4 linked regions of the Struthio camelus genome follow. Each later gene encodes a partner of the first gene's protein in a complex. Links are inferred from orthologs where the notes say so. Each region holds a gene or a part of one and is shown in the gene's direction. Other genes may lie near its edges. The genes, in order: RBM15, WTAP, METTL3 and CBLL1.

Evidence for each region.
Region 2: RBM15 (region 1) and WTAP share a complex: the UniProt entries of both Homo sapiens proteins name them as parts of the WMM complex. The link is inferred for Struthio camelus from reciprocal best matches to the Homo sapiens genes RBM15 and WTAP.
Region 3: RBM15 (region 1) and METTL3 share a complex: the UniProt entries of both Homo sapiens proteins name them as parts of the WMM complex. The link is inferred for Struthio camelus from reciprocal best matches to the Homo sapiens genes RBM15 and METTL3.
Region 4: RBM15 (region 1) and CBLL1 share a complex: the UniProt entries of both Homo sapiens proteins name them as parts of the WMM complex. The link is inferred for Struthio camelus from reciprocal best matches to the Homo sapiens genes RBM15 and CBLL1.

Annotation. Positions count from the first base shown.
Region 1 is NC_090965.1:4,446,759-4,454,285, forward strand, and holds the start of RBM15 (RNA-binding protein 15), read left to right. Parts: upstream 1-4,520; 5' UTR 4,521-4,604; coding exon 4,605-7,490; 3' UTR 7,491-7,527. UniProt on the Homo sapiens protein: RNA-binding protein that acts as a key regulator of N6-methyladenosine (m6A) methylation of RNAs, thereby regulating different processes, such as hematopoietic cell homeostasis, alternative splicing of mRNAs and X chromosome inactivation mediated by Xist RNA.
Region 2 is NC_090944.1:85,123,612-85,130,960, reverse strand, and holds the start of WTAP (pre-mRNA-splicing regulator WTAP), read left to right. Parts: upstream 1-4,340; 5' UTR 4,341-4,641; intron 4,642-5,165; exon of another isoform or gene 5,166-5,340; intron 5,341-7,349. UniProt on the Homo sapiens protein: Associated component of the WMM complex, a complex that mediates N6-methyladenosine (m6A) methylation of RNAs, a modification that plays a role in the efficiency of mRNA splicing and RNA processing.
Region 3 is NC_090970.1:84,326-92,049, reverse strand, and holds the start of METTL3 (N6-adenosine-methyltransferase catalytic subunit), read left to right. Parts: upstream 1-4,712; 5' UTR 4,713-4,782; coding exon 4,783-4,876; intron 4,877-7,024; coding exon 7,025-7,287; intron 7,288-7,375; coding exon 7,376-7,720; intron 7,721-7,724. Other genes in the region: SALL2 (sal-like protein 2), read left to right, coding at 713-2,517, 3,767-4,033. UniProt on the Homo sapiens protein: The METTL3-METTL14 heterodimer forms a N6-methyltransferase complex that methylates adenosine residues at the N(6) position of some RNAs and regulates various processes such as the circadian clock, differentiation of embryonic and hematopoietic stem cells, cortical neurogenesis, response to DNA damage, differentiation of T-cells and primary miRNA processing.
Region 4 is NC_090942.1:16,396,022-16,403,890, forward strand, and holds the start of CBLL1 (E3 ubiquitin-protein ligase Hakai), read left to right. Parts: upstream 1-4,856; 5' UTR 4,857-5,221; coding exon 5,222-5,234; intron 5,235-5,931; exon of another isoform or gene 5,932-6,321; intron 6,322-6,737; exon of another isoform or gene 6,738-6,812; intron 6,813-7,869. Other genes in the region: SLC26A4 (pendrin), read left to right, coding at 794-817. UniProt on the Homo sapiens protein: E3 ubiquitin-protein ligase that mediates ubiquitination of several tyrosine-phosphorylated Src substrates, including CDH1, CTTN and DOK1. Targets CDH1 for endocytosis and degradation.

The DNA of each region.
Region 1 (7,527 bases):
GCCAGGGCTGCAGGTGGAGGGGCCGGATCAGGCCCCAGCAATTAGTGGGCTGCCGCTGCCCTCTGCCGGCAACGGGGCTTGGGCCTGGGGGCTGCCTGCCTGACCCTGCTGGGGTAGGAGAGGGGTTAGCCCCGGGACAGGCTGCAGCCTGAGATTGGGGCTGCGATGAGGTCCTGGGAGCAGGAGACTGGGGAGTCCGGGGGTGGAGGGAGGGGAAGGGAGGCAGCCACCTCCGACGGTCTGAGATCCTCTGCTGGGGGACCCAGGTGGTGCTGGCAGAGTGGGATGCTGACAAGGATGCTCGCAAAAAAGGTATGTGGGAGGGAAGGGGTGAAGGGACCGCCTTGCCTGGGGAACTGCTGCAAAAGTCATCCCTAGAGCCTTTGGGATGGTGCTGAACTGAGCGTGAGCAGGGAGGAAGGGAGCCTGGCTTTAGCTACCGGTTAACTCAAGCAGAGTCACTCCTGATTGACCTCGGTGTGAAGCGCAAGGACGCTGATCCCTGATCTGCACAGGGATGTGCTCCTGGTACCCAGAAGAACAAACAGGCAGCGGGACCAGTTCGTGCCTGACCCCTCCAGGACAAGCGAGGGATAAAACCCAGAGAAATTCCTGGTGGTTGACACTGCATGTCTAGAGGGACTGTCACCATGTGAGTGTAATAGGAGAAGAGCTGATCCAGGAGACCAGACTGGCTGAGGACTCTTGAATTCAACCCAGTCCTCTGACACTGCCTCCCGGTGAGAGTGCCGGCACGTCCCAGCCACCTCTTGCTCAGCTGCAGAAAGAAACCGGCTCCCTCCCTGCTTTCCTCGAGGTGCTGGGAGCTGCCTTGCGGATCGCTGCCAAACCTCACCAGGATCCCGCAGGGTGGATGTTCTCCAGCTTTTTCTGCTTGCGAGTGCTAGATCCGGGCCATTGCAGAGATCGCTGCGAGAATTGCAGTGACTAACCAGGGGAAGCTTTCGCCTCCCCTGCGCAGCGTTCAGGTCAGAGTGCAAGACAGCTCACTTCTGAGCCGGCAGCTCGCGTCCCTGGAGCGCTCTTGTGGCCTCGCCTAAGTGAAGCTAATGTATTTTGATGTCTCTAATGGCCAGCTGGGACGCAAGTGCTCCTCCAGGAAGAAAGTTAGCCTGCTTGAATACCAAACTGCGGAGGCCAAACAAACACCTCCCCGGTTGAGGCGCTCACAAGTCTTTTGCCAGTGTCAATCAGTGGCACTCGGAGCTGGTTTGGGATCGAGGCAAGGAGCCCTCTTTGCCTCTCCTCCTAGGTCAAGTTGACCTGTTCCTCTAAGATCTTCTCAATCCAGACTTTGAAAAGGAGACATATAGTTAAACTGCTAGAGAAAGGCTTTTGCAGAAAACGGCAAGTTTCTTTGGTTCTGCAACATGCAAGTATTACCCAGGATCAGGCCAAGTCCTCAAAGGTACTTGCATGCCCAACTCCCATTGACACCAAATGTAATTAGATGCTTATATCTAGGCCATGGGCTCAAGGGCCATCTGGCACCTTAATTATTTATACACATATATAAACACAGACAGTACTCTTTATCTAGTCTGGGCCTGGGGGGAGATTCCTGCTCACGCTGTATTCTTTCTCATGGCCTGACAAAACGTGCTCTTTTCCAGGGCTCTTTTCAGGTGCTGCGTTTCCTTTCTCCAGTGCCAAAACCCGCTCTGAAATGCCTCAGTCCTGCCGAACTGTCAGTGACCAGTTGCCTGTTGCAGAGATCTATCTCTGACCGCGGCTGACGCAGCGGCGGAAGAATCCAGGAGAAGATTCCCCCCTTTGAAGGAGCAGATTGGAAGAAGGGCTGAAATCAGATTAAATGACAGACAGATGTCCCTTTGGTGATGTGTCCTATTGCTCACCCAAGGTGTCTTTTAAACTATGAGTCATCAGCCGAGGAATTTTAATTTCTGTGTTTCACACACAAACTGAGGCACCACAAGGAAGTGGTTAGGACCTTGGCAGAGTCTGGGGAGTTACAAGTCTTTATCATTAACTGTTTAACGTGACGCTTTTCCTCTCAAGCCAGTGGAACGGTTCCAGTTTTTACCAGATGTAACCTCAAAGATGAAGCTGAAATAAGGTAAGGTAGGTTTCCTCCCGTTTTCATCTCGCCTCCAAAAAAGGCTGGCCAAGGAGCGAGGCTCCTTGGTGCCTCTGTGATTCTCCGACGGAAACCACAGGAAACCCAGAGGGAGAGCTGGCTGCGAGGGGTATTTGCACTGGCTGTGGATGCATCTGATGCACACCGACGTGGTGGGATTTTTTTTTTTTGGTTGTTTTAACTGGGAGCTTCTGCTCCCCGAAGCAGGTTGCGGCCAGGTCGCCCTTCTAAACTGATCCCACCCTGAGCTCCAGCAACCTCTCCGACAGCCCTGGCATTGGAACTGAGACGTTGCTGCAAAATGTTAACACCCAGATGGAATAGCATTTTATTTTTTTCTAAGGGGAGGGAAAAAGAAACCCCGCCAGAGCACTTTCACTCGGTTGTGTCTTCCCAGGAAAGCAGCTTGAATCAGACACGAGCAGTGGTTGCAATAAGCCCGTTTGGCAGAGTCGTGGATGATGCTGTGTTTCTAAGACACCCGGTACCGCTCTGCGCCTGTGACTCTAGGCCTCTTTGGCATTCCTTCGGATCGCTGTTATCTGGGTGATCCGCAGCCACATAATTGTATCTGTCTTCCATATACTTTCAGGATAATTATATCCACATGAGCCAAGCAGGCCCGTCTCGGATACGCATGTTAGGTTAACTCCCTGTCGTTGCATGGGAGAATCTCATTTTCAGGAGCCCGACATATATTTCAAACACAATTTTTCTCATTCCTCGGTCTATATTTAGAGAGCAGCTATTTACCCACCATTTAAAACCCACCCACGGTTTCAGGAACTGCTGTGTACCATCTCTGTCAGAAAGCGATGATATGACAGGGAGAAATGCAGTCTAATGGCCTGCTATTAAAAAATCAGATTCAATTCCCCTTCTGTTGGATTAAGCTGCTCCTGGGGAGCTCTCTTGTTTCCACGGGTGACACGGAGATGCGGGGACTTTTCAGACAGTAAACGTGGCTCGGGGGGGCCGTAGCAGTGCCGGGTTAAACCAAGTTCTTCCGAGCGCGCTTGCAGGTTTGCGTTTTTCTCGGACGTTTCCGAATTTCCAAACCGAGCATTTTGAGGGCAGCCAAAAGAAAGGAATCGAAACGCCGCGGGGCTGCGGAGGGGGTGCGAACTTCGGGTTGGGGGGCGGGCGGCCGCAGGGCCAGCGGGAGGCAGGGGTAGCTCTTCCCTTGGGGGCGGCAGGGCCCGCCGCCCTACGCCTTTCTCCCCCCGGGGAATCTGAGTCTTTATTTCCGACGCAGAGGCCAAGGGGAGGCTCGGGCGGGAGCGGGAGGTGTCCAGGCCCACGCGGTGTCACGCAGCGAGCGGGAGCCCGGTCAGCGGGGTTAGAGCCGCTTCGGTTGGACGGTGACTGGAATTCCCTTAATATAAATAACGTCTTCTGTGACAGAAAAATTGTAAATGTGGGAATACTGGCTGGTCCGGCTTTTCTTTCTTTTTGTGCTTTCCTTTTGGCCCCCGCGCCCCAGCCGTTGACGCACCGCCCGGCCTGAGGAAAGCAGAAGAGACCAGCGCCCCTCCCCCCACCGCGCGCCCCGGCCCGGCGCGCTCTGAGCTCGCCCCAGCAGCCGCACGGCGAACGCTCCTGGGGAACCACCCCCTCCCTCGCTGCAACCAATCAGAGTCAGAGCAAGCGTGACTGACCGCTTCCTTACCCTATCCGCAAGCTACGCGGCTGCACCCAATCAGATGCCTGGGGAGATTTTCTCGCCCAATCATAAACGAAGGGTGAAGCTTGGGTAGCAGCCCGCGCTTCTTCGGGAGAGGCATAGGCTTCAGCCTATCAGAGCAGCAAAGGAAAGGTTACCAGTGGCCAATGAGGACAGAGGGCGGGGTTAATACAGCTCGCGAGAATTTGAGAGGGACGATGGGAGCCCGCGTCTCAGCCAGCGAACCAATGGGAAGCGGCGAGGAGGGGCCACAGCCAGGACCGTTGCAAGTGGCAGGCCGGCGAGCCAATCGGAAAGACGAGTTGAGCTAGCCCAATGGCCAAAGAGCGGGGGCGGTCCCCTACCGTGGAACGGTTATGATTGACATGGCAGCCCGACCAATGAGAAGGCCGTTCTCGTTCTAACCGTCCACTAAGCAAACGGGGCGGGAAGAAGTGCGAGCGGGGCGGCTCCTTCCGCGCCCTCCTCCCGCAGCGCGCGAGGCCGGCCCGGAGAAAGACAGCTCGCTCGGCCAATCGGAATGGGCACAGAGGGGGGAACGGGCGGGTCTTCCGCCAGCCAGCCCTGGCAGCGCGAGCGCCCGCCGCGCGCGGAGGGGGCGGGGGGTGGGGGTGACGCGCGCGCCGGCCAACGAGGGCGGCGGGCCCGCGTTAAGCGGCCAATGGGCGCCGGGGGGGCGGGGCTCGTAGCCGCGGCGGCTTCCAAGATGGCGGCGGGTGCGTGAGCGCGGCGGGTCAGTCAGTCAGTGAGGCCGGCGGCGGGGAGCAGGGCCGGGCGGGGGGCGCCGCGGGGCCGGCCGCCATGAAGGGCAAGGAGCGCTCGCCGGCTAAAGCCAAGCGGTCGCGGGGCGGCGGCGGCGGCGAGGACTCGGCGTCCTCCTCCTCGTCGGCGCGGGGCGAGCGGAGCGGCAAGAAGCCGAGCGGCTCCGGCGGCTCCAACGGCAGCGGCGGGAAAGCGGCGGCGGCGGCGGCCTCCACCGAGAGCAACAGCGGGAGCAGCCGGCGCGGCCCGCACCCGGACAAGGCCGGCCGCGCCGGCAGCCGCGAGTACGAGGCCGGGGCGGCGGCGGCGGGCGGCGGCGGGGGCAGCCGGCACGGCTACAGCAGCAGCAGCAAAGCGGCGGAGCCATCGCGGAGCAGCAGCAGCCGCGGCGGCGGGGGTGAGTCCCGGGTGCCGGCGGCGGCCCCGTCCTCCTCCTCCTCCTCCTCCGAGCCGGGTGCCGGCGGGGAGTACAAGACGCTGAAGATCAGCGAGCTGGGCTCGGCGCTGAGCGACGAGGCGGTGGAGGACGGGCTCTTCCACGAGTTCAAGCGCTTCGGCGACGTGAGCGTCAAAATCAGCCGCCTCCCGCCGGGCACCGGGGCCCCCGACGAGCGCGTGGCCTTCGTCAACTTCCGCCGGCCCGAGGATGCCCGCGCCGCCAAACACGCCCGCGGCCGCCTCGTCCTCTACGACCGCCCGCTCAAAATCGAGGCTGTCTACGTCGGGGGTGGCGGAGGGAGCAGCCGGCGGCGCAGCAGCCGCTCCCCGGCGCTGCTGGACAAGGAGTCCCCCTACGGCACGACGGCCGTGGGAGTGGCGGCCGCGGCAGCCGCCGCTGTGCGGCACCCCCCGGCTGGGGCAACGCAGCGGGCCTTGTCGCCCGCCAGTAGCGGAGGAGCCCTGGGTTATCGAGACTACCGGCTGCAGCAGCTCGCCCTGGGCCGCTTGCCGCCTCCGCCCCCTCTGCCCAGGGAATTGGAGAGGGAGAGGGACTACGGAGGTTTCTACGAAGCGCGAGTGCGGCCGGCCTATGGGCTGGAGCGCGTGGCCGGTGTGGCGGCTGCCGGGGGCTTCCGCGGAGGAGGAGGGGGTGCCGGAGCAGCCGGTGAGGAGGAGATCAGCCCCGAGGACGACCAGAGAGCCAACCGCACGTTGTTTCTGGGCAACCTGGACATCACCGTGAGCGAGTCTGATTTACGCCGAGCCTTTGACCGTTTTGGGGTCATCACTGAGGTGGACATCAAAAGGCCAGGCCGTGGGCAGACCAGCACATACGGTTTTCTTAAATTTGAAAATCTGGACATGGCGCACCGGGCCAAGTTGGCCATGTCAGGAAAGGTGCTTCTACGCAACCCCATCAAGATTGGGTATGGTAAAGCCACTCCAACTACCAGGCTCTGGGTGGGCGGCCTTGGGCCCTGGGTGCCCCTTGCTGCCCTGGCCAGGGAATTTGACCGTTTTGGCACCATTCGCACTATTGATTACCGCAAAGGGGATTCGTGGGCCTATATCCAGTATGAGAGCTTGGACGCGGCACAGGCAGCGTGCACCCATATGCGTGGCTTTCCCTTGGGTGGGCCGGATCGCCGACTCCGCGTAGACTTTGCTGACACTGAGCATCGGTACCAGCAGCCCTACCTGCAGCCTCTGCCGTTGCCACCTCCTGCTCATTATGAGCTAGTGGCAGAGGCTGCTGCATTTGGGGCTCACCGGGGGGCCCCGCCAGATCCTCTTCGGGGGGCTCGGGACAGGACACCACCGTTGCTTTATAGAGACCGCGACAGAGACCTTTATTCTGAGACAGAGTGGGTGCCTCCGCCACCCCCTGTGCGGGATAGGAGTAATCGGGCAGCTGCCTATGACCCACTGGAAAGCCTAGATCGCCGTCGGGATGGTTGGTCCTTGGAGCGGGACCGGGGGGAGAGGGAGTTGGGCACTAGCAGTAGGGATCAGCCTAGGAAACGGAGACTGGCGGAGGATGGAGGCCGGCACTTGGACCGTTCTCCGGACAGTGAGCGCTCTTCTTCGTCCCGAAAGCGTCACTGTTTAGCCACAACCTCTCCCCCAGACCGCAGCCCTGAGCTTGTCGGAGGGCGGGAGCGCTATAGTAGTGACCCAGAACGCTCTTCCTCCCGTTTGCTCCTGTTGGAGCGGCCCTCGCCTATCCGGGAATCGCGCAGGGGAAGCCTAGAGCGAGGCCAGAATGAAAAACGCGACCGCAAGAATTCCGCTGAAAGAGAGCGGAAGCATCGCGCTTCTGCAGCAGCTGCTGCGCAGGAGTGCAAAAGTCCAGCCAAAAAGGATGAACGCGCTACGGAAGGAGGCGGTGGAGGGTCGCGGCTCAAACCTCCGCCTCAGAAGCAGCAGCAGGATGGAACGTCGCAGGCCGGGGGAGCCCCCAAGTTGTGCTTGGCTTGGCAGGGGATGCTTCTGCTGAAGAACAGCAACTTCCCGTCCAATATGCACCTGCTTCAGGGGGACCTCAGCGTTGCCAGCAGTCTCCTCGTGGAGGGAGCAACTGGGGGTAAAGTAGGTCAGCTCAAGATCACACAACGTCTTCGTCTGGACCAGCCCAAGCTAGACGAGGTCACTCGTCGCATCAAGGTGGCAGGTCCCAATGGGTATGCCATCCTTTTGGCTGTGCCTGGCACATCAGACAACCGCTCCTCATCTGGAGCTAGCGAGGCTGCCACCACCTCCACCCAGAGGCCGCTCAGGAATCTGGTGTCCTATCTAAAGCAAAAGCAGGCTGCTGGGGTGATCAGCCTCCCTGTGGGGGGCAACAAAGACAAGGAGAACAGCGGGGTCCTGCACGCCTTTCCACCCTGCGACTTCTCCCAGCAATTCCTGGACTCCACGGCCAAGGCGCTGGCCAAATCAGAGGACGACTATCTGGTCATGATCATTGTCCGTGGGGCATCCTAAGGCCCTTGTGTTCTGTACCCAACCCTGCCTACTCCTC
Region 2 (7,349 bases), on another chromosome or scaffold:
GTGTACAGTGTCATCACATGTGCTGCAGTCTTGGAGACAAGTGTTGTAAATCTATTTGGCTCTGTAGATAGTAGAGTTGCACATGATTATACTATTGATTTTATATGCTCTCATGAGCACCTATGTATATTTATAAACAGTTATCGGTAATTAAAAGAGGAGTCTTTATGGGAGCTGTCTGAAGAAAATCTAGCTACCTCTCGCTTTAGAAATGGAACAAAAATGTGCAATAATTCCAGTAAGATGCTTAGAAATGTCTTGTCAGATGATGTAAAGAAAGCCTGCAGCCTACTAGTTAGAAAGCTTTTTTTTTTTTTTTTTGGAGAGCGAGAGTGCATTGAACTTAAAATTGGGCTTGTTGCTGTCCAGATTTTCACGTGGTAGTTACCCGAAGGATATCTCTGTCATTTTTTTCAGTACAGCAATCCATATATTTTATTTGCCCACCGCATCTGTAGGCTACAGCAGCCTTTTCCAGTGCCCTTGGAGCTCAGTTTCTGTTCCAGTTGCAAACCACTATTTTGCCTTCCTCCATCTTACATCCGTACAAGTCAAGGACTATCTTTTCAGAAGCTGATTAGCCTTTAGTTCCTTTTATTTTAAGATCTTTTAAAATGCTAACAAATGTTCATAACAGTACTCCAAACATTTTTTTCTTCTGAACAGTTTTTTATCTGACTTTATTTCTTACTAATATCCTAGCTTTTCTGATCTGCAGACTGTAGTTGTCATCTCTTACAATTTATTTTATGTGACTTTTATGCTATTAAATATTTGTCCTTAAAGCCCTGTTTCCCATGACATAGTATTTCATCCACATCTCAACTTTGAATCATGAAAATGCAGGGGAAAAATAGCCCTTATGATCCTGTAGAAAAGCTTGGAGGCCTGAAACAAATTTGTCTTTAAGGCTCACACAGCCTAAGACAGTAGAGAGTATTAAAATTCAGTGCGTTTGTATTTCAAACAGTTGTGTGATTTCTAATCTGGCTTGAGGGTTTAGAGATATAATGCATGAATTCTGGTTACTTCACGCTAGTGGTACTGTCTTGATCTTGCTTGGGTTGGGACCATCCTGTTGTAAAGCCGTCCGAGATAAGCAATGGCAAGAAAACTGTGCTGCCTGCAAAGCTCAGCAGCTCCTCCTCTGACTCCTTACAAAGCTTCATAGCCACAACACATACCAAGTGCTTCAGTTAAAACAGGGCTTCAGCTCTGCCAACTGTGTGTCAGCTGCTGGCTACCCAAAGAACTTGGGACATCCAGTAAGCACAGGAGAGGGCAGTATTAGTCCAAGTGAAGGCATGAAGAGGACAAACTATTAACAGAAAAAATAAGCCAAAATGTAATAAAGAGCATTTTTTCCGAGTTTAAAACTATTCTGTCACTGACATCTTTTTTTTTTTTTTTTTTTTTTTTTTTACATTTATGGAGTGTTTTAATGTTTTGTTCCAACTGGCTGTAACATGAAACAAGAAATCAAGAACAGAGCAGGTAAGAACCATTACAAGCCACAAGCCTTCCAGCAGGAAAATAATTAGGTTAGTGAACTACATGTTGTCTTTTGAAGAACCTAAAACCAGATGAGACAATATGAACAGATCTGAAACAAAACCAAAAACTCTATTGTTATTAGTATCTGCTGAGCAGGCCCTAGACTTGAAAACAGAGCTAGAAAAAGTGTGGAAAGTTATGGAGGAATACAGGGGTGTTACTCTAATGCCAAATGGCATTCTTGTCAATACAGTTTTCTTCTTTCTTTAATCCAATTTTATATCAAAGTCAAATGTAGAAGAGAGTCCGCAACAATAAAATACAATTCCTATGATCTCTTCTTAAACAATAGGAGATACAAATACAATATGCTTTGTGGAAGTACAGTGGTTATTTTCATCTTAAATGCATTTATTTCTCGTGTTTAATTTATGGAAAGCTGTATTGTCCAGGTGTTCATAATCTGGTTCATATTTCAACTTAGCAGTATATATATTTGTTGTGCTATTTTCTGAATTCTGTTTTTTCACTGGTTTTCGGACAGATATGCTTATTTGCCCTCTCATTTGTGGACAAGCAATGCTATTAAGAGCTGTGTTAGTACCTATTATTTGAAAAGGAAATTTATTCCGGTTATTATATTGTCACATAACCCAATGCAGGTGCTTATTAAGGTGTTTATTCTAGGAGCATTAAAATATACCAACTGAGACAGTTCTCATTGTGTTAGGTGCCGTGCAAGCAGAATAAGAGACTATTTCAGTGAAATGTGCTCTATCAGGGTACTAGTTAACAATTTGCTGTTTGTATTTTCTCACATAAAAATTTTAAGTATAGCTGATAATACACATGGTAATTCTAAGGGCTAGAAGGAAGGCCAGAATATAAAGCTCTACAGTCTGTATCCACTTATCTCTTGGTGTTTCTGGCTCTGTGCCGTTTGCTCAGCTAGTACGTTTCCCATAAATGTAATCTACACTTGTAAAACTAAATTTAAAATAACTAAGTGCTGACAAGGGAAAAGAATGCAGGATTATTTTCTACATGCTTATGACCTGGAAGAACAACAGGTACCAATGGTAAGTGTAAGGTCCGGTATCTCTTGACCCATCAGAGTTAGAACTTTACATATACTGTTAAAGATTAAAGACTGAAGAGAGATCCATTTTCCCAACATAACAAAAAAGTAGCTAAACTCTAGCCTTGGCAAATGTTGGGAGATCTTGTGTTCAATTTGTGATACCTAGAAAACATTAGGTAATTTATATACAGAATAGAAATGGCCTTAAGTACATCTCTGTATCTCTTTTGTATGTAAAAAAGTTTCCGTTTCTTGTCCTACTTGGCTTACGTGCATTTTAGTGTTGTAATGTTTACATTTGTGCATGAGCAAATAAAATCAATTTTCTACATTAATGTTCGCAGTAAGGACTATTCTGGTATATTGACACCTCTCCCATGCTGCTGTCTCTTGAGATGGCTTTATCTGTTAATTAGTGTCTTTAGTGCTTAAAAGAAGTACCTGCAAGGTGTCTGTGTACAAAAAAACAGTGAAAGGAGCAGTGAACCTCAAACTGTAATCACAGTGCGTATTTTTCACGTAAAAAAATAAGACTTCAGAGGAACGTACTCAAGCCCTTTTGATTTCACTCTCCTTGTGGTAATTAGTCACATCATTCTCTTTTTTTAATTTCAAGCGACAACAGTCAGGTCACTTAAAGCTTGGTCAGGGTGTTAATTTTTTTTTCAGCGAGAGCTTTTTTTTTTTTTTTAAATCTGTGCTGTGTGGATCTGCACCTCTGTACACTGGAATCTCTTGTGCAGTGAATATATTATTCTTGCTATCAGTAGCACAGTCAAGAAGACAGATTTCTGGAGTGTCTTCCACAGAAATTCAGTTGCAATCAATCACATCGTGCAACCCAGCTGACACTAATTTAGCCTACAGAAGCTTTATTACTTTGTTGGCAAGAAGGGAACACATCTAATTGTGCTAATAGCATTGCTTGAGAAATCATGGATAACAAGACAGAAATTCGATTTTAAAGTAGTTGTTCAGTGCTAGACTACAATTAAGGGCAATCAGTATGTTTCATTCTATTTTTTCCCCAAATGTTAAAGCTAAAGTTTAGCGTATTTGGAAACAGCTAGGATTTTTTTTCCCTCATTTGCTGACTGATGACGTTAATGTGCGCTTATGCCACTGAGGTGAATTTAACTGAGTGAAAATTTTCATTGCACAACGTGAAAGACAGGCAGAAAGCCGCGGAACTAATGCTGACAAGCAAGGTGCCCATCTTGCAGACTAACCACTGGCTGTGCCTGGCTGTGCGCAATCCTCGTTTTCAAAAGCCGCTGTCTTTTCAGCGTGTCTTCCAAGAAGGCGCCAAGCAGCGCTCCCACGGCGCCGCCCAGAAGGAGCAGCCCCGCGGCAGCAGCTCCCTGTCGGCCCTGGCGGACGCCCTGTTTCACGCGTGAGGCCGCGGGGAGGCGCTCGGTGCCGCTGCCCTCAGCCCTCGCGCCGGCAGGCGGCCGCTTCCCCCCGCCTGGCCCGCCCCCAGGATGCCCCGCGGCTCGCTACCCGCCGCGCGCCCGCCCCTCCCTTCTGCCCGTTTAACTGACAGGCTTTAAATCAACATTCAAATAAGGAGGGAAACCGCGGCGCGGGGACGGAAGGAGCATCTCAGTGCTGCCTGCCGCTGGGGAGAGAGCGGGGGACGAGCTCCCCAAAGGAGGCGCGGCGGCGGCCGGCAGAGCCGGACCGGGCGGCTCGGCCACCCCGCGGCCCGGGCCACTGCGGCGGCTCGCGCCGCGCGGGGCTGCGCGCGCAGCGCCGCCGCCTGAACGTGGGGGGCGGCCGGTGGGCGGGGCGGCTGGGCGCTCATTTCCTCCTTGGGCGCCATTTTGTAGCGCAGAGAATCCGCAAATAAAGAGCGGGCGGGAGCGGTACGTGAGGAAGCGCGGGGTGGGGGCACGCGGTGGTGACCCCGGCTCCGGAGCAGTGGTCCCGGTAGAGCCGGTTGCGGGCGCGCGCGCGGAGGTGGCGGCAGGTGTGAGGAGGTGGCGGCGCTTCGCCCCCGATGTGACGGGTGCGGCCCAGGCAACCAGTGTGCTGGGAGAGTGAGGCCTCCGCACCGCGGGCGGGAGGTGAGTGACCGCGCGAGCGCTCCTCCCCTCGGCCGGGCTCCCCCTTTCTCTGGTACCGCCGCCCTTCTCCCCCGCAGGAGGTAGCGGGGCCCTCGGCAGGGACCGAGCACCTCGCGGTCCCGGGGCGACCAACCCCGGCGGCTCCATCTCTCACCCCAAGTGGGGGGAGGAGCGGAAGCACTTAGAGCCATTTTGTGCGAGGCCGCGAGCCCGGCCTGGCTGCTCCGCTGAGATCCTCCTCCCCTAGCCTTCGGCTCCGCCACGCCCGGGCGCCGCCGCCGCCGCCGGGGCTCCCTCTGGGCGAGGGAGACGCGTTTTTTCTTTTTTTCCTTTTTTCTTTTTTTCCCCCCCTTCAGTTGAAGCTGAACGAGGACGGCCCGACGGGGCGGGTAGTGCCTGCCCTGCCAGAAGGGGGGAGGGGAAGGGGGTGGCAGGGTCTGTCAAACGTCTGTGACGAGCCGTGGGGTCAGTGGCCTGCAGCTGCGCCTGGCCGGGGACTGGCGGGGTCTCCGCGCAGGAGGCGGGGCTGCGCGGCAGCGGCCCGCCGTTGGGTTGGGAGGGGGTGCGGCCGCAGGACTCGGCTACGCGAGGCTCCTGACCGCGGTCGCTGAGGCTAGCGTGGAAACTTTCATAGGCCGGCATCTTACTCTGAACCTTTTTGTTTCGGGACACTTGAAGGCCTCGAGGGCTTTTCCCACGGTATGCTTTTTCATATCGTTGAAATAACTAGGAGTTACTTCAACTGTTGCTAGTAAAGCAGCACTTGAGTTATGTCTGGTATTACTTGATTGCCTTGTCTCTTAGCTCGTAGTGCTTGTTTTAATCTTTAAACTTTATGTTTTCTAAATGTTGTAGTAAAAGTTGCACAGAAAACTACAGTTTCTGAAATTAAAACGCACTTTCCCTGTTTCAGCCCTTTCATAGTTCAATTACTTTAGAGATTACAGGAGAATTCTTTTAGTGTCTATGATGGCCCCTTTTTAAGGGTGAAACACAGGTTTATATTGCTTATTGCCAGGAACGGATGTAGAAGTTGTGGAGTTTAACAGGTATCACTGCTCTGAAATCCTGAAAGTGCCTACTGAGGATAGCACAGGCTAAATTATTCATTGTATTAATTGAGAAGTGTAATCATGATAATTCCAGTCAGAAAATGGCAGTTCATCCTATTCTTGCAAAATATTACTGAACTGCTTAGCACAAGGGTCATCTGTCTTTCAGAGTAGGCACGTGGTGAGATGCATCTCTTGCTGCACAGCACTCCACATTACTCTATTAGACTCAATGAATGAATGTTTGAGTTGTAATAATATTGTTAATGTCTGTTGCATAACTTATCTGGTAAGCACAGAAAGAACTGAAGCAAATCACTGTGACAGCTAAGTGATACAGTAAGCCTGATGTTCTGATGCTTCCAAAAACACTGAGCACAGTGATAGAAATACAACCTATAGCAATAATGAACTCTTAAGCTGTTTGTAAGTTACTGTGGGTGCCAAAAAAAAAGCTGTTGCGTAGGAGTCATGAGGTGAAACTTGCACATACAAAAAGAACATGATCACTTAGCTGTCATAGTAAGAAGTTCAGATGTGATAAACCTAGGTTTCCAAAATAATACCTTACTAAAAATTTTCAGGGTATTTTTTAGTGAACAATTCTAGTCCTACAAGTGAAAGCAGGTGACAGTAAAACAATAACTTATGTAATGCAGTGGACTTTTTATCTTCAGCATGTGCATTAAAGGATTTTATCAGATAGCAGGGAGATGGCTTTGTTTTGTAAGTGGGAACGTGTTGGGCCTAGAGGTTAGAAGGGTAGTCTGGTTTGGTGCTGCCATGAGAAAACTGGTTGTGGGAGTCTTATGCTAGGTCTGGAGACGGGCAATAAGGATGGAGCATCAGCTTTTAATTTCTTTCGGTTGCTGTTGCAGTGGCACTCAAGTGTTTAGTTTGCTGTATACTGCTGAAGGGTTCACAAGCCAAGTCTTTGGAAAATTCATCTTTTTTGATACCTGTGTGTTCCTACTGTTTTTCTGACACATGATAATATCTGTTAGGTATGATTTAATCTAAGTGTATTTCCATGGGACATTTGAAAGGCAGATCTCTCTGTTAAGGACTTGAATCCTGCTGAAATCTTCAAAACTCCTTCCAAATACTGAAGGAGTTAAGTGTCTGAAAATCTTTAAGAAAATTGTAATGGGGAAGTAGGCCATTAAATTTAGGGGGCTGTGAGCATTTCCCCATATGATCTTAGTCATCCAAAATATCAGTTTAACTTGAGTTGAGCATCATTGGTTTGTATCGATAGTCTCTAATACATTTCATATTGCATTTAGTAAAAGTATAAAAGTCTTAAGTGGGAAGCTGCATCCAGAAGTTAAAGTTCTCTCATGTGTGAGAGAGTTGATGGTGGGGGGCCCTAGACCTCTTAGAGTAGAGAATCACTGAAGTGCCTGTGTGTTATGAAGATTAGGAACAGGAAGCTGACATTGGTCATAGATGCCTGTATTGAGTGTTATTAGCAACTTTTCTGTTCGTTCTAATGTCCCCCTTTACTTTATGAAGGGCTTGGAAGCCATTTCACCTGTGCACTGTAGGTGTTTAGTTGTTATTGTAGTTTTATTTGGTATAGTGCTATATACTGAATGTTAATATAGGTTGAAGGAGCTGTTGTTCACTTGGTATGCATTTATCTTTTTGACAGTG
Region 3 (7,724 bases), on another chromosome or scaffold:
TGCATATCCATCCATCCCTCTGTCCCCATGTCTGTCCATCCGTCCATGTGTCCATCCATCCGTCCCTCCATCTCCGTGTCCATCCATCCCTTCATCCCCGTGTCCATCCATCCCTCTGTCCCCATGTCCGTCCATCCGTCCCTCCATCCCCGTGTCCATCCATCCCTCTGTCCCCGTGTCTGTCCATCCATCCCCGTGTCCGTCCATCCATCCCTCCATCCCTGTGTCCATCCATCCCTCCATCCCCGTGTCCGTCCATCCATCCATGTGTCCGTCCATCCGTCCATGTGTCCGTCCATCCATCCCTCCATCCCCCGTCCGTCCATCCCTCTGTCCCCATGTCCATCCATCCGTCCATGTGTCCGTCCATCCGTCCCTCCATCCCCGTGTCCGTCCTTCCATCCATGTGTCCGTCCATCCGTCCCTCCGTCCCCACATCTGTCCCTCCTCCCCTCCGTCTCCGGGTCTCTCCGTCCGTCCATCCATCCGTGTCTGTGTCCTTGCCCACCCCATGGTGCATCCATCCATCCATCCATCCGTCCATCCATCCGTGTCTGTGTCCTTGCCCACCCCATGGTGCATCCATCCATCCATCCATCCATCCATCCATCCATCCATCCGGGGCAGGAAAACCCTCCCCTGATCCCCCTCTGTGGGGCCAGTGCATTTCGGGGTGGGACGGCGCCAAATCCCGGCCCCTCTCGCCCTGCAGGTTCCCCGGCCGCCACCGCCGCTCCTTCCTCCTCCTCCTCCTCCTCGGAGCCGCCGCCGATGGACGCGGAGCCGCCGCCGCCGCCGCTGGACATCCCGCTGCTGCTGGAGGAGCTGCGGGTGCTGCAGCAGCGGCAGCTCCACCAGCTGCAGCTCACGGAGGAGATCTGCCGCCAAGTCCTGCTGTTGGGCGCCCCGGCCCCACCTCGGGCCACCCCGACCCTCTTCGCCGCCGCCAAAACCCAACCGCCGCGGGCCCCGGCGTCCGGCCCCCCACCTAAACCCACCTTCTTCCACCTCTACCGCCCGTGGGGGGCCAAAGCCGAAGCGGCCGCCTTCCCGGCGCCGCCGCCGCCGCCGCCGGCCTTCCCGGGTTTGTTGCGTCCCAAGAACGAGGCGGAGGAGAAGCCGGGCGGGCGGCACCGGTGCCGCTTCTGCGCCAAGGCCTTCGGCAGCGACAGCGCCCTGCAGATCCACCTGCGCTCCCACACCGGCGAGCGGCCCTACAAGTGCAACGTCTGCGGCAACCGCTTCACCACCCGCGGCAACCTCAAGGTGCACTTCCACCGCCACCGCGACCGCTACCCCCACGTCCAGATGAACCCCCACCCCGTGCCCGAGCATCTCGACTACCTCCTGGCCGGACCTCGCTGCCCGCCGCCGGAGAAGAGCGAAGCCGGCGAGAAGCCGCCGCCGGTGCCACCACCGGTGCCGCCACCGGTGCCGCCGCCACCACCGGTGGTGGCCACCGAGGGCCTCCCGCTGCTGCCCCAACCCTTGCCGGGCTTCAACAAGCTGGTGCTGCTGAAGGCGGCCGAGGAGAAGGCCAAGGGGGACGAAAACACGCCGCCGGGCAAGCTGCCCGCCTGGGCCGTCTTGGCCAACCACTTCAAGGGCGGCCACCACCACCACCACCACCACCACCACCACCACCACCACGCCGCCGCCTTCCCCTTCCTCCTGGAGCCGCCGGCCCCCTCCGAGACCTCCAAGCTGCAGCAGCTGGTGGAGAAGATCGACCCAACAGAGACGCCGGGGACGGCGGCAGCGGCCGCCCCGCCGCCGCCACCGCCGCCACCGCCGCCGCCGCCGCCGCCGTCCTCTTCCAACCAGTGCCCCGTGTGCCGCCGGGTGCTGAGCTGCCCCCGGGCGCTGCGGCTGCACGCAGGGCAGCACGCCAGCGGCGCCAGCGCCGAGCGCCCTTTCCGCTGCCAGGCCTGCGGCCGGGCTTTCTCCACCCGCGGCAACTTGCGGGCTCATTCGGCCGCCCACCGAGCCAGCCCCACCGCCGCCGCCGCCGCTCGGCCCCGAACCTCCTGCCCCATCTGCCAGAAGAAGTTGGCCGACGGCCCGGGCCTCCAGCACCACGTCCGCCTGCACCTGGGCGGGCAGGTGGCCAACGGTGGCCCGCCGCCCGCCCGCCGGCCCCACGAGTCCTCCGAGGACGAGGAGGAGGAGGAGGACGACGACGACGACGACGAAGACGAGGAGGAGGACGCCTCTGAGGAGGACGCCTCCGAGGAGGATGACTCCGAGAAGGCCCCAGCCGAGGAGGAGGAGGACGAGGAGGACGAGGAGGAGGAGGTGGTGGTGGAAGAGGAGGAGGATGAGGAGGAGGATGAGGAAGGCGGCGCTCCTCGCCGCCCGGCCGGCAGCCCTGCGCCGCCGGCCTCGGAGGGAGCCGGCGAGCCCCAGGTGGAGGAAGGTGGAGCGCGCCGAGGGGACGACGCGCAGCCGGAGGAGCCGCGGGCCAGCCCGGCCGAGGACGGCGCTCCTGACGGGGCCGCGCCGAAGAAGCAGGGGCAGGTAAGGTCCCTAGGGACGCTCCCAGTCCCTCCGTAGGGATGCTGGTGCTCCCTAGGGACGTTCCCAGGCCCTAAGGACACTCCTGGTCCCTCTGTAGGGATGCTGGTGCTCCCTAGGGACACTTCTGGTCCATAGGAACGTTCCTGGTCCCTTCATAGGGATGCTGGTGGTCCCTAAGGACGTTCCTGGTCCATAGGGACGCTCATGGTCCCTCCCTAGGGATGCTGGTGGTCCATAGGGACATTCCCCATCCATAGGGACGCTCATGGTCCCTCCCTAGGGATGCTGGTGGTCCATAGGGACCTTCCCGGTCCATAGGGATGTTCCCAGTCCATGGGGACGTTCCCGGTCCCTGGGGACACTCATCCCTAGGGATGCTGGTGGTCCATGGGGACCTTCCCAGTCCATAGGGATGTTCCCAGTCCATGGGGATGTTCCCGGTCCCTGGGGACGCTCATCCCTAGGGATGCTGGTGGTCCATGGGGACCTTCCCGGTCCATAGGGATGTTCCCAGTCCATGGGGACGTTCCCGGTCCCTGGGGACACTCATCCCTAGGGATGCTGGTGGTCCATGGGGACCTTCCTGGTCCATAGGGATGGTCCCAGACCATGGGGACTTTCCTAGTCCCTAAGGATGTTCCCGGTCCATAGGAATGCCCATGGTCCCTCTCTAGGGATGCTGGTGGTCCATGGGGACCTTCCCGGTCCATGGGAACACTCATGGTCCCTCTCTAGGGATGCTCCTGGTCCATAGAGACATTCCTGGTCCATGGGGACGCTCATGGTCCCTCTCTAGGGACGCTGGTGGTCCATGGGGACGTTCCTAGTCCATGGGGACACTCATGGTCCCTCTCTAGGGACGTTCCTGGTCCATAGAGACGTTCCTGGTCCATGGGGACGCTCATGGTCCCTCTCTAGGGACGCTGGTGGTCCATGGGGATGTTCTCGGTCCATGGGAACACTCATGGTCCCTCTCTAGGGACGCTGGTGGTCCATGGGGACGTTCCTGGTCCATGGGGACGCTCGTGGTCCCTCTCTAGGGACGTTCCTGGTCCATGGGGACATTCCCGGTCCATGGGGACGCTCATGGTCCCTCTCTAGGGACACTGGTGGTCCATGGGGACGTTCTCGGTCCACGGGGACGTTCCCAGTCCGACGGGGACGTTCGGGACGCCGCTTCTTCCCCCCAACCACCTCCTCCCTCGCCTCCTTGCTCTTCCCCCCCCAACCCCCACCGCCCCCCCAACAGGTGCCGCCATGCTGGAGCGGCGGCCCGGCGGCCCGCGCCCCCCGCCCCGCGCCGGGCCCCCAACCGCCGCCGACGCCGCCGAGCCGTGGGGCCGGCAAACCGCCGGAGCTGCCCCCACCGCCACCACCGCCGCCGCCGCCGCCGCCGCCGGCCCTCTCCTTCTGGAGCCAGTACGGCGCCTTCGCGGCCGCCGGCCGCCCCCGACCCGGCCCCCCGGCCCCCGCCGACCCCCCGGCGGCTTCGGGGCAAGGCCCGGCCGAGAAGTAGCGCCTCGACGGGTCCCTTTTTATCTTTTAATCCTAGTTTCGCCTCGACTGTAGCGCACAGGGCGCCCCCTTCGCCTCCCCTCGCCGCCATCTTGACCCCCCTCCTCCGTCTTCCTCCTTTCCCCCAACCCCAGCGTAGCCTCCTCCATTAAAGCCCTTCACGGTGACTCGTCTCCGCTTCTTGTTTTGGGAGGGAGGAGGCGGCGTCGTATTTTGGGGAGGAAAATGGGTTATTTTGGGGGGTGGGGGGGGTTCTCCCGCCTCTCCCCCCCCCCAACAACGCCCTCTGCCAGGGCGTAAGATGGCGGCCCCGCCCGCAACAAAGATGGCCGCGCGCCGTTGCCAGGGCGCCGCCCGCCGCTAAGATGGCCGCGCGCGCCCGCGGCCAAGATGGCGCGCGCGGCTTCGCCGTGAGGGCGGCGCCGCCCGTTGCTAGGACACCGTCCCCCCTCCTCCCTCCTCCCGCGCGGCGTTCTGCTGGCCGCCGTGCCCGCAGCCAAGATGGCGCGCGCGGCTTCGCCGTGAGGGCGGCGCCGCCCGTTGCTAGGACACCGTCCCCCCCCCTCCCTCCTCCCGCGCGGCGTTCTGCTGGCCGCCGTGCCCGCAGCCAAGATGGCGCGCGCGGCTTCAGGGCGCGGCCTAGCGGGCGCCGCTCCGCCCCGCTTCCGGTTCGGCGGCGGCGGCGGCGGGGCCGGGAGCGGGGCCGGGGCCGGGGCCGGGAGCGGAGCCGCAGCCGCAGCCGCCAGCGCCATGTCGGACACGTGGAGCTCGATCCAGGCGCACAAGAAGCAGCTGGACTCGCTGCGGGAGCGGCTCCAGCGGCGGCGGAAGCAGGACCCGCTCGGTGCGGGGCGGGGGGGGGCGCCGGGAGGGGGTCAGAGGGCGTCGGGAGGGGTCAGGGGGCGTCGGGAGGGGTCAAGGGGCATCGCGAGGGGGTCAAGGGGCATCGGGAGGGGTCAAGGGGTGCCAGGAGGGGTCAGGGGGCGTCGGGAGGGGATCAGAGGGCACCAGGAGGGGGTCCAGGGGCACCAGGAGGGGTCAAGGGGTGTTGGGAAGGGTCAAGGGGTGTTGGGAAGGGTCAAGGGGCGTCAGGAGGGGGTCAGAGGGCACCAGGAGGGGGTCAGGGGGCGTCGGGAGGGGTCAAGGGGCGTCGGGAGGGGTCAGAGGGCGTCGGGAGGGGTCAGGGTGCATCGGGAGGGGTCAGGGTGCATCGGGAGGGGGTCAAGGGGCATCGGGAGGGGTCAGAGGGCGTCGGGAGGGGGTCAGGGGGCGTCGGGAGGGGTCAGGGGGCGTCGGGAGGGGTCAGGGGGTGTCGGGAGGGGGTCCAGGGGCACCAGGAGGGGTCGGGGGCGTCGGGAGGGGTCAGAGGGCGTCGGGAGGGGGTCCAGGGGCACCAGGAGGGGGTCCAGGGGCACCAGGAGGGGTCAAGGAGTGTTGGGAAGGGTCAAGGGGCATCAGGAGGGGGTCAGAGGGTGCCGGGAGGGGGTCAGAGGGCACCAGGAGGGGGTCAGGGGGCATCAGGAGGGGTCAAGGGGCGTCGGGAGGGGGTCAGAGGGTGCCGGGAGGGGGTCAGAGGGTACCAGGAGGGGGTCAGGGGGCGTCGGGAGGGGATCAGAGGGCACCAGGAGGGGGTCCAGGGGCACCAGGAGGGGGTCAGGGGGCATCAGGAGGGGTCAAGGGGTGTTGGGAAGGGTCAAGGGGCGTCAGGAGGGGGTCAGAGGGCACCAGGAGGGGGTCAGGGGGCGTCGGGAGGGGTCAAGGGGCGTCGGGAGGGGTCAGAGGGCGTCGGGAGGGGTCAGGGTGCATCGGGAGGGGTCAGGGTGCATCGGGAGGGGGTCAAGGGGCATCGGGAGGGGTCAAGGGGCGTCGGGAGGGGGTCAGGGGGCGTCGGGAGGGGTCAGGGGGCGTCGGGAGGGGGTCCAGGGACACCAGGAGGGGTCGGGGGCGTCGGGAGGGGTCAGAGGGCGTCGGGAGGGGGTCCAGGGGCACCAGGAGGGGGTCCAGGGGCACCAGGAGGGGTCAAGGAGTGTTGGGAAGGGTCAAGGGGCATCAGGAGGGGGTCAGAGGGTGCCGGGAGGGGGTCAGAGGGCACCAGGAGGGGGTCAGGGGGCGTCGGGAGGGGGTCAGGGGGCGTCGGGAGGGGGTCCAGGGGCACCAGGAGGGGTCAGGGGGCGTCGGGAGGGGTCAGGGGGCGTCAGGAGGGGGTCCAGGGGCACCAGGAGGGGGTCCAGGGGCACCAGGAGGGGTCAAGGAGTGTTGGGAAGGGTCAAGGGGCATCAGGAGGGGGTCAGAGGGTGCTGGGAGGGGGTCAGAGGGCACCAGGAGGGGGTCAGGGGGCATCAGGAGGGGTCAGGGGGCGTCGGGAGGGGGTCAGGGGGCATCAGGAGGGGTCAGGGGGCGTCGGGAGGGGGTCAGGGGGCGTCGGGAGGGGGTCAGGGGGCGTCGGGAGGGGTCCAGGGGCGTCGGGAGGGGTCAGAGGGCGTCGGGAGGGGGTCAGGGGGCGTCGGGAGGGGTCAAGGGGCATCAGGAGGGGGTCAGAGGGCATCAGGAGGGGGTCAGAGGGCATCGGGAGGGGGTCAAGGGGCACCAGGAGGAGGTCAGGGGGTGTCGGGAGGGGTCAGAGGGTGCCAGGAGGGGGTCAGAGGGCATCGGGAGGGGTCAGAGGGCATCGGGAGGGGGTCAGAGGGCATCGGGAGGGGGTCAGAGGGCATCGGGAGGTGGTCAAGGGGCATCGGGAGGGGTCAGGGGCACCAGGAGGAGGTCAGGGGGTGTCGGGAGGGGTCAGAGGGCATCGGGAGGGGGTCCAGGGGCACCAGGAGGAGGTCAGGGGGTGTCGGGAGGGGTCAGAGGGCATCGGGAGGGGGTCAAGGGGCGTCAGGAGGGGGTCAAGGGACGTCAGGAGGGGTCAGAGGGTGCCAGGGCGGTGGAGGGGGGGGTGGGAGGAGGAGGAAGGAGCCTCGTCCCTCCGATCCCGACCCCCCTCGGCCCCCAGACCCCCGTCACCCGGAGCTGGCGCTGGCCCCTCCGTCCCGCAGCGCCAGCCCGGCCCCCGTCGCCCCCGCGGCGGCGGCGGCCGGAGGTGTCGGAGGAGCGGCCGGCGGAGGAGGAGGAGGAGCAGGAGCGGCGGCCGGCGGCGGCGGAGCGGCCGAGCTGACCACCGACCCGGCGCTGGAGCGGCGGCTGCTGCGGCACCTGGCCGACCTGGCGCTGCCGCTGCCCACCGACGCGCTGGCCATCTGCCGCGCCATCGCCACGGTACGGCCGCCTCCTCCTCCTCCGGCCCCCTTGCCGGATTTCCCGCCGCCGCCGCCGCTCTCAACGCCCGCTCTGTCTCGCCCCGCAGCCCGACGCGCCGGCCGCGCAGCGCAGCGTGGAGAGCCTGCTGCAGAAATTCGCCGCCCAGGAGCTCATCGAGGTGCGCCGCGGGCTGCTGCACGAGGAAGCCGCTCAACCCACCCTCGTCACCTACGCCGACCACGCCAAGCTCTCGGCCATGACCGGCGCCGTGGCCGAACGCAAGCGGCGGCCCCAAGCCGACGCCGCCGACGGCTCCGCCGCCCCCGCCGCCCCCGCCGCCGAAACCGGCAAGGAACCGGCTAAGAAGTGGCGCAAGCAGGCCTCCGACGTCGACCGGGAGATCGAGAGCTTGCTCAGCCAGCAGTCCACCAAGGAGCAGCAGAGCAAGAAGGTAG
Region 4 (7,869 bases), on another chromosome or scaffold:
GTTGTGGCTGGGTAGAGGTTGTCAGCATCACCTTGTGTTGTGTTTTCTTCCACTGCGTGACATCTCCTAGGAAAACCTGACCAGGGAGGTCAGATTGGCCTGGGAGTCAGAGCAGTGAGAGGAAAAACTTAAGACCAAAGCAAAAGCCTCTTAAACTTCATCAGGGCTCGTTCAATAGATTGTGATATTTGGCACTCCTGATTTCAACCCCTCCTTTTTTTGTTTGGTATGAATATTGCAAGAGATCCAAATATTACTTTTTAGCACACACGAGACAAACACACTTCTTCCACTTCTCTGGTGAGTACTCTAAGCAACAGGTTATTGTGGGGAGAAGCACTTTCCACTCCTCTGGAAGCCACTGGGCAGAAAGGAGTGAAGGATTCACAAAGCTATGAAGATAAGCAGGCCAAAAGCCCTGGCTTCTGATTCCGATTCCCAAGAGAGCTTAGTTATTTACATTACAGAAAAATAAGGAAAAGAATGCTGGCACAAAACCACCAGTCCAAGGTCAAACCGTTCTGAGAGGTTTCCATCCTCCACCTTTATGGCCAGTTTTTTTGAAGGCAAGAGCTAGTACCTTTCAGATCTGCAAATTCCTGACCGAAGTGTCTGATGTAGGCTCCAGTTAGAGGGGGGCTGTTTCGAAGAGACCTTTTACAGTTACTTTATTTGTACTTTCATTGAGGCCAGGTTGGTAACTTGTACATAAATATTTTATTTTTCCAAGTGATTTGTACTCAGCACTAACCATTGTCCCTTTCTCTCCACCTTTTGAAAAACTTGTCAATAGGCTATGCGCAGACTCGCTTCATGAAGAACTGCTGGTACTGTCATACCTGTGAACTCACAGCAATATTTATGCACCGGTATTATAAAAACATTTTCTGCAATGAAACCAATCTTTGCACTTGAAGAAAACCCTGATTCCTTGTCTGAATGATGCAGATCTCTAGAAATCTCCACATTTGACTACCATTATCCCTGAAATACTCCAGACTGATTCAGTGAGCAAGTTCTGACCTGATACGTTGATAAAAAAAAATCTATTACAAAAGACTTAATCAGTTTTGGAACTAGTCAGGGGGAAGGTGCATCACACCGTCACTTCAGTGTGTTCAGGAAGAAAAGCTGCTTTGTGTTAACCTAGCCCAGGGGAGTTGAAGAGACTCAAATGTTTTGATCGGAGACCTCCTGTTATGTATTTGTACAACGCCTAGCAAGAGGACAGGAGTTCTAGCTGGCCAAGGCTTTGCAGTCCTAGAACGTTAAGGTGACCACACTTGCTGACAAAACTCTTGAAAAATGCACCTCAATAGTTCTTTCCAAGCAATTCCTTGAATTGCTGCAGGTTGTTAGATAAATGAAACACAGGACAAGTGACAAAGTCACACAAACACAAAACTGTGTGCTGCACTACTATAAAACAATAATTAGGATAAATTTCAATAGAAAAGGCCCTCGGATAGTGGTTCATTAGTTCTGCATTCATCCCATTGTAGTAAATCATGCACTCCTGTTAATGAAAAATTAACAAGTATAAAAAAATCAAAAAAATCAAGTATACGCATAAGATTATTTTGGCTAGGTTATGTATCTATAGCTGATCGAGAGGCAGATCATGACATAGATTAACGAAAACCTTATTCCACAAATACGTAATGAAATTTGTAGAATGGGCTGCTACAGAATATAAGTCAGAATGTGAGCTAGTATAAGGTTTTTTAATGAATTGTAGGAGTTTAGTTAGTTTAAGGAATAGCTATTTTTTTATATAGCATATATATTTTTTAATATACTACATCAAACAGCTGCTGTTCTTCTACAGGAAACATATAGACATTTGACAGTCCATAATGCTCAAGTGCAATAATTTACACAAGACACAGGATTCAAACTGCAAAATTTTAATCCTTGATTTTAGGACTATATAAAATACATATGCAAGAAATCAATGATCTTAACTTCATCATGAAGAAACTGGTTTCAATGGAAAACAGACTGCTACCTTAAATATTTTAGCACTATCTTAATTTTTAAAATGGAGAAAAACCTGTGTGGTGAGGGAATATGTAATACCAAAAGCTTAAGAAATACAGACTCTAAAACCCCTTTAAGCTTCACCATGTGGGCCAATTAGCTTTAGTACGTTCACATATTTAAGTCTCTTTATTCAAGTATGTCAGACAAATTTTCTTGTATCACACTGCACAGAGAAGACTGTTATGTTACTGCAGGTGATGTTAATGGAAAAATCTCAGGTGAAAAGCCGAGCACTAGGTAAGTTATTCTTCTCTAAGGACCGGAGTGAACTCTTTCAAAATCAGTGAAAAAAATTCCTATAAACTTCAGTCAGTTGACCAGGATCCTTCCACAATGGGAAACTGCACCAAAGACTGTCGTCTTCATTCTCTAAATAAGACAAAAACTTCAGCCTTCATGGCACTCGGCAAAGTTTCTCATTTCAAATGCAGTAAAGGTTTGATCCTACATGATATTGATGTTCTAGTTCAAACCAGCAAAAACGCAGGCCTGCGCTTAGAGTTAGGAACGAGCAATTCTTACGTCAGACAGGCTTCTCCACAAGCTGAGAGTTAGGTATGTGTTTAAGAGCCAAATCAGACCGACCTGCACCTCCTAAGATGGAAGCATTGATTAAACTTACACTAATGCTTAGGCTCAGGCTGTGATTTGACACTTCAGGCTTTTAGGAAATAATAGCAAACACTTCCTATCTTCATTCTCTCCCCCTCCATTTGCCAGCATAACTCAGGAGGTTGGTGCTTCTGCCAACATTACTGACAAACCTTTCATATTAGGCCATGGCCTCAGTTTATATTATCCTGCATACAAGCCACTGCTGCCAATGCACGTGAATGAAGGATAAGGCCAGTAGCATGTTTCTCAGAGGATGTATTGTTCCTCTAAAGTGGATGTACATTTTATGTAAAAAGCAAAAGGAAACATTCTGCTTGGGACTGGTAAAGGAGCTTTCTGCTATTTTTAGGCAGAACAAACACCGCAGAAAAAAGTGATATTAGAAAGATAGCAGTGAATGTTTTGTCCTTGAGAGAACATCTGCACTGTGAAGTTTGAGCACAGATTCTTACTTGACAAAAATGTGGGCACAGATTATTTTCGAACCTTCTCTAGTTCTTGCCCATATAGGTATTTAGAAAAAATACATATATATATATTTTCAACAGTCTTCTAGCTTTCTTTACAAATATGACATTTTAGCTGGAATTAGTTGTAATAAAATACAATGCAACGCACTTATTTTTGGCCTGCATATTTCTTCAAGGCAAGGTTGCATTTCTTAACTTTATTATTAAAAAATATTCACCTTTCCTGAATAATAGCATTTCATATAAAGCTTACACTTGCCCAAAACAATAAAGAGCAACATGCAGAAGGCATTCAGATGCCTTTTTCAGTGAGGCAGGGAATACGTGCCTTTTAACACTCTTATCTACATATCCATCAAAATGAAGAATACCAAAATAATAGGTTTTGTAATGAAGCTGAAATTCTGTACAATTTTGTACTAATTCAGACATCCATAAGTAATGCACAAGATATATGTGATTATCTTTTTCAGCTGAATGCAGAAGTGATATTTTTATCTGCACTTGTGATTACTACCATCTTTGCACGTCAAATATTAAATTGGAGACGTATTTGTTTTTTACCCTTTTAAAAAGGCTACATTTTAAAAGTCATTATGTCCATTAACTAGAAAATAAAGTTGTGCATACTGAAAAGTTTCTCCATGCATCTGTTCTGTTTTTAAAAACTGTTCTTTTTGTGAATTCATATTATGGTGAAATAAAGTGTATTATGTAGGGATAGGTTTCTCATTTCCCTTACATCTGCCACTTATTTTAGACAACCAGCAAAGTCTCTGTACCTTCTGGGGATAAGAGAAGATACAGTAGGCTTAAATCACAGCTTTTTAATGGTAAGGCTAATTTTAAGGTAATGAGAAGAGCTGTCTGCATGGACACAAAGTCACAACCCTGGAGATTCAGCAAGACAAGCAGTCATCAGTTTTAAGTGTCTGAAGTAGAGCTGTCCCCACCTTACAACTCTGGAAGGGTTAAGAGACTTAAGCTTTACGATCCCTTTAAGCCCTATAGACTATGATTTAGTTATTTTTATATTCCTCTCCTTTCTTCAGTGCTATAAACCTGTTCTATAGACAGTCTCCCCCTTAACTGGTCAGAAGTCACAAAAAGCTAAGTTTATGAAAATATCAGAACAGTCACAGAGCTCTAGTGCTATCAAGCTTTAGGATGCACTGGAGTTTGCTGCTCCCTTAAGTCACTAACTGTTTTGTTTGTCTGGTTGGTTTTTAAGTAATCCTGACTACGGGATTGCTCTGAGCGCAAGGAATTTGTCCCGTCTCTGGTAAGACTTAAGGCAGCTCATCAGCAGCTGACAGAGCCCAACGTGGCTTCAAGCCCGGCGACTCGCCCAGCTTCTTCAGAAACGGGCAGCAGGCGCGGCATGCCGCCGCGCCGCCCGCAGGCAGGGCGGCCGCAGCCCCCGCGCACAAAGCCCGGCCTCCTCCGTGCTGTTTCCCCCTCCTCCACGAAGGCGCACGTTCACGTCCGTGTTTCCAGGGCCTTTGGAAGCCCGCGCAGGGCAGCGAGCTGCGGCCTCAGGGGGGCCCAGGGCGGCGCGCAGCGCAGGCCGAGCCGCCCGCCGGCAGAGCGCGGCGCCTGAGCGGACCGCACGGAACCTCCCCGCCGCCCCGGGCAGCGCCAGGGCCGCGGCCGGAGCCGGGCGAGGGCCGCGCCGCCCCGGGAAAGCCCCGCGCAGGGCGGCCAGGCCCCTCTCCGCCAACCCGCCGCCATCCCCGCAGGCACCCCATGGCGCATGCGCAGCCCTACCAAGGTGTGGGGGGAGAACCTCGAGGCAGCAGGCCGCCAGCCGCTATCCCAGCGGGCGCTGCGGCAGCACGGCGCTCCCCCACCGCCTTCTCGCGGTGCCTGCTGGGAAAGAGAGGCGCCAGTTACGGCTCGGCGCCGCTTCGCCAGACCCCCGCCGCTTCGCCGCCGGCTCCGCCGCGCCCTCGGTGTCTCGCAGTCGCTCCGCAGAGACGCGCCGAGCGCTGCGCCGCGGACTTATCCCTAGAGCGCCCTTTTTCACGCCCGCCTCCCGGCAACTTCCGCTTCCGGCCCCACCCTTCCGCTCCCACAGTGCCCCGCGCCGAATCATGGACCACAATGGTGAGGAGGGGAGAGGCCGGGAGACCCATTTATACCCGTCCCCGACCGGGCCCGCTCCGCGCCGGCGGGCGGCGAGCGGCCGCGGTCGGGGCCGCCGGGCTGGGGGCGGTGCGAGGGTGGTGGGGACGCGGCCCGGCGCCCGGTAACGCGGGCGGGGCCTGAGGTTCGCCGCCGTTCGCCGCGGCCCGCGCGGCGGGGCCTGGTCGTTCCCTTCCGCGCCCGCCGCCGCCGCGGTCTCGCGCCCTCCAACGGTCCTGCGGCGCGCGCGGGGCTGCCCTGACCCCCCCCCCCCCAACCCGCGCGCGCGAGCGGCCCAACGGCCGCCTCGGCGGCGCCCCGTGGCCAGGGGAGGCGGGGGCGCTGGCCACGGCCCCGGCCGGCGAGCGGCGGCGGCCTCGGCGCAGCCTCGGGCTTGAGCGCGGCGGCCGCCGGGCGCCAGCGGGCCGTGTGGCCGGAGCCTGCGGGCTTGCAGCAGGTGGAGGCGGCCCGTGGCGCTCGGGAGGTGGGAAAGAGGCGCTCGTTTCCCGAGATCGGTGCCGATGATGTCTTTTCTGCTTCCCGGATCGCGCTCCGGAGATTCTCGGGCGTTTTCTTATGTCGCGCGTGAAATTTGTTCTTGTAGCGTTGATGTTTTGCTCGTTGGTATGCTGGCGTAATCTAATGAATACATAAGTAGATGACTTTTTTTTTTCCTTTAGGAATGACTGCGCTATAAGCACATATAGTATAGTATTCCAACTATATTTATAAATTAAAAAACAAAAGCTTAGAGTACAAAAAAAAGCTTCAGAGAAGCTGATGGAGACGACAACTTAAGAGAGTGTCTCACTTTTCATCGTATCTTCTCAAATAGTCTAAACAACTTTGCTACGTTTTTCATATTTTTTTCTTGACTTATTCCTGCTAGTTATGCTTACACGAACTTGAGGTTATCGTTCTCCTATGAAATAGGAATGACTAATACACTTGTTCGTTTGGATTAGTTGAGCAACTAAGTCACGTAAATATTCCTAGCTTGCAAAGGTATATGGAAGAGAAGTATCAGAACTCCATTTTCTCCTGTTTTTGGTTCAGTGGACTAAATGAGGTAAAAAAATTTCTGTTTTTAAAACTTATTTTAATTGTTCCCATTTGTAAAAGAATTGAAGTCCTGCAGAGACCTTTTTGGTCTCTAGTGTAGTGCCTTTGTGTGTTCAATTCAAGATTGTTTCCTCTCATTCTGCCCCAGTAGCACTGTTTGCCTTAGGTTTTCTGTTAGAGGACTAGTGATTAGTCTCAGAACTTTTGTAACAGAAAACAGAACTTCCAGCTCATGGAACGTCAACAGCTCTAGCATTATTGTCTCTGATGTTCTAGTCTAACTGCCTCTGGGTAAGCCTTGTATTTGAGTTGCATGTTTGCTGGATCATCTGTTTAGCCAACAGGATGGCCTAAACTCCCCCAAATTAACAAAAGTAAAAGCAAGCTTTATTGCCTTTGCTATTTTTACATTTTGCCTTTTAGATTGAAACGTGTCAACCACAGTACTAAGAAATAAATAGACTTGACCCAAAGAAAATTGGCGTTCTTGATTTTGAGGTAAAGTAACTGCTAGGGCGCAGTCCCAACTTGCAACTTGTCTCAGTTCCTAGTTTTGATATTAGCTGCTGAATGACTTTGAGCAAGTCCTCATTAACCTTTTTTTTTCTGTTTCTCCTTCTTCTTGTTGTGTTGTATATGGAGATTATAAGCTTTGAGGGACAGTAGTTGTTTATGTGAGGTATTGTGCAGTGTTACACTCCCTGGACCTAATTCCAGTGTCCAGATGCTTCCCTGTTGCAATGCTTTGGAGCCGCAGTAGTCATGCCAGAGCTGTAGTGCCGTATCTGAGGTTGAACAGTAGGGCTCACTCTATAATAGCTTGTGGCACTCTCCTTGGGGGCTGAGAAGGTCCCACTTTTAAACATTACCAGCTGATGCTAACCCCTCTCTTGACAGACCAGAAGTGACAAGGATGTTAAATATTTGTGTCCCTATCTTTCCAGCTACAAACATGGACAGGACTTGCACTGGAAATATTTTGCAAGGGGGACAAACCCAAAACCCAGCCCTCCAAAATGCCAAGACATGCAAGAGAGTTCCTAATGAAATTTTTGATTGCTTGTGTTTGAAAACATAAGTTTAGCTGCTGTGTTCCTGCTCATGGTCTTGCATGTCTGTCTATCCTGTAATGGATGTTGAGTTAAAGGCTTATAAATATGAGTCTAGTAATGATTTTATAGAAGTTTTATTTTTTATTACAAAGAGCTGATGGGCATGTACATTGATAGAATAGCGTGATGTGTCAATTTGTGAGACATCTTTTATGTTTGTATAAATGAGATGCTATATAGTGGGTTAAGGTAGACTTACTGAAAGTTGGGAAGGTGTGTGAATTGTACCCCTTCATGTTGTCTGAGTGTTGCCTGTTACAGTACTGACTCCTAGATTATGCATTCAGGCCCATATCTACACGTGTGTGTTGAACTGTTGCTTTCTTCCTTTGCCCTGGTACTCAGATTTAAAACTGGTTAAAGAGAATTCTGTATAGGAGGGAGTGCTAATTTTTAATTTAGCAAAGATATTACTGTGTACTGTAAGCATCAATATTTTTTTG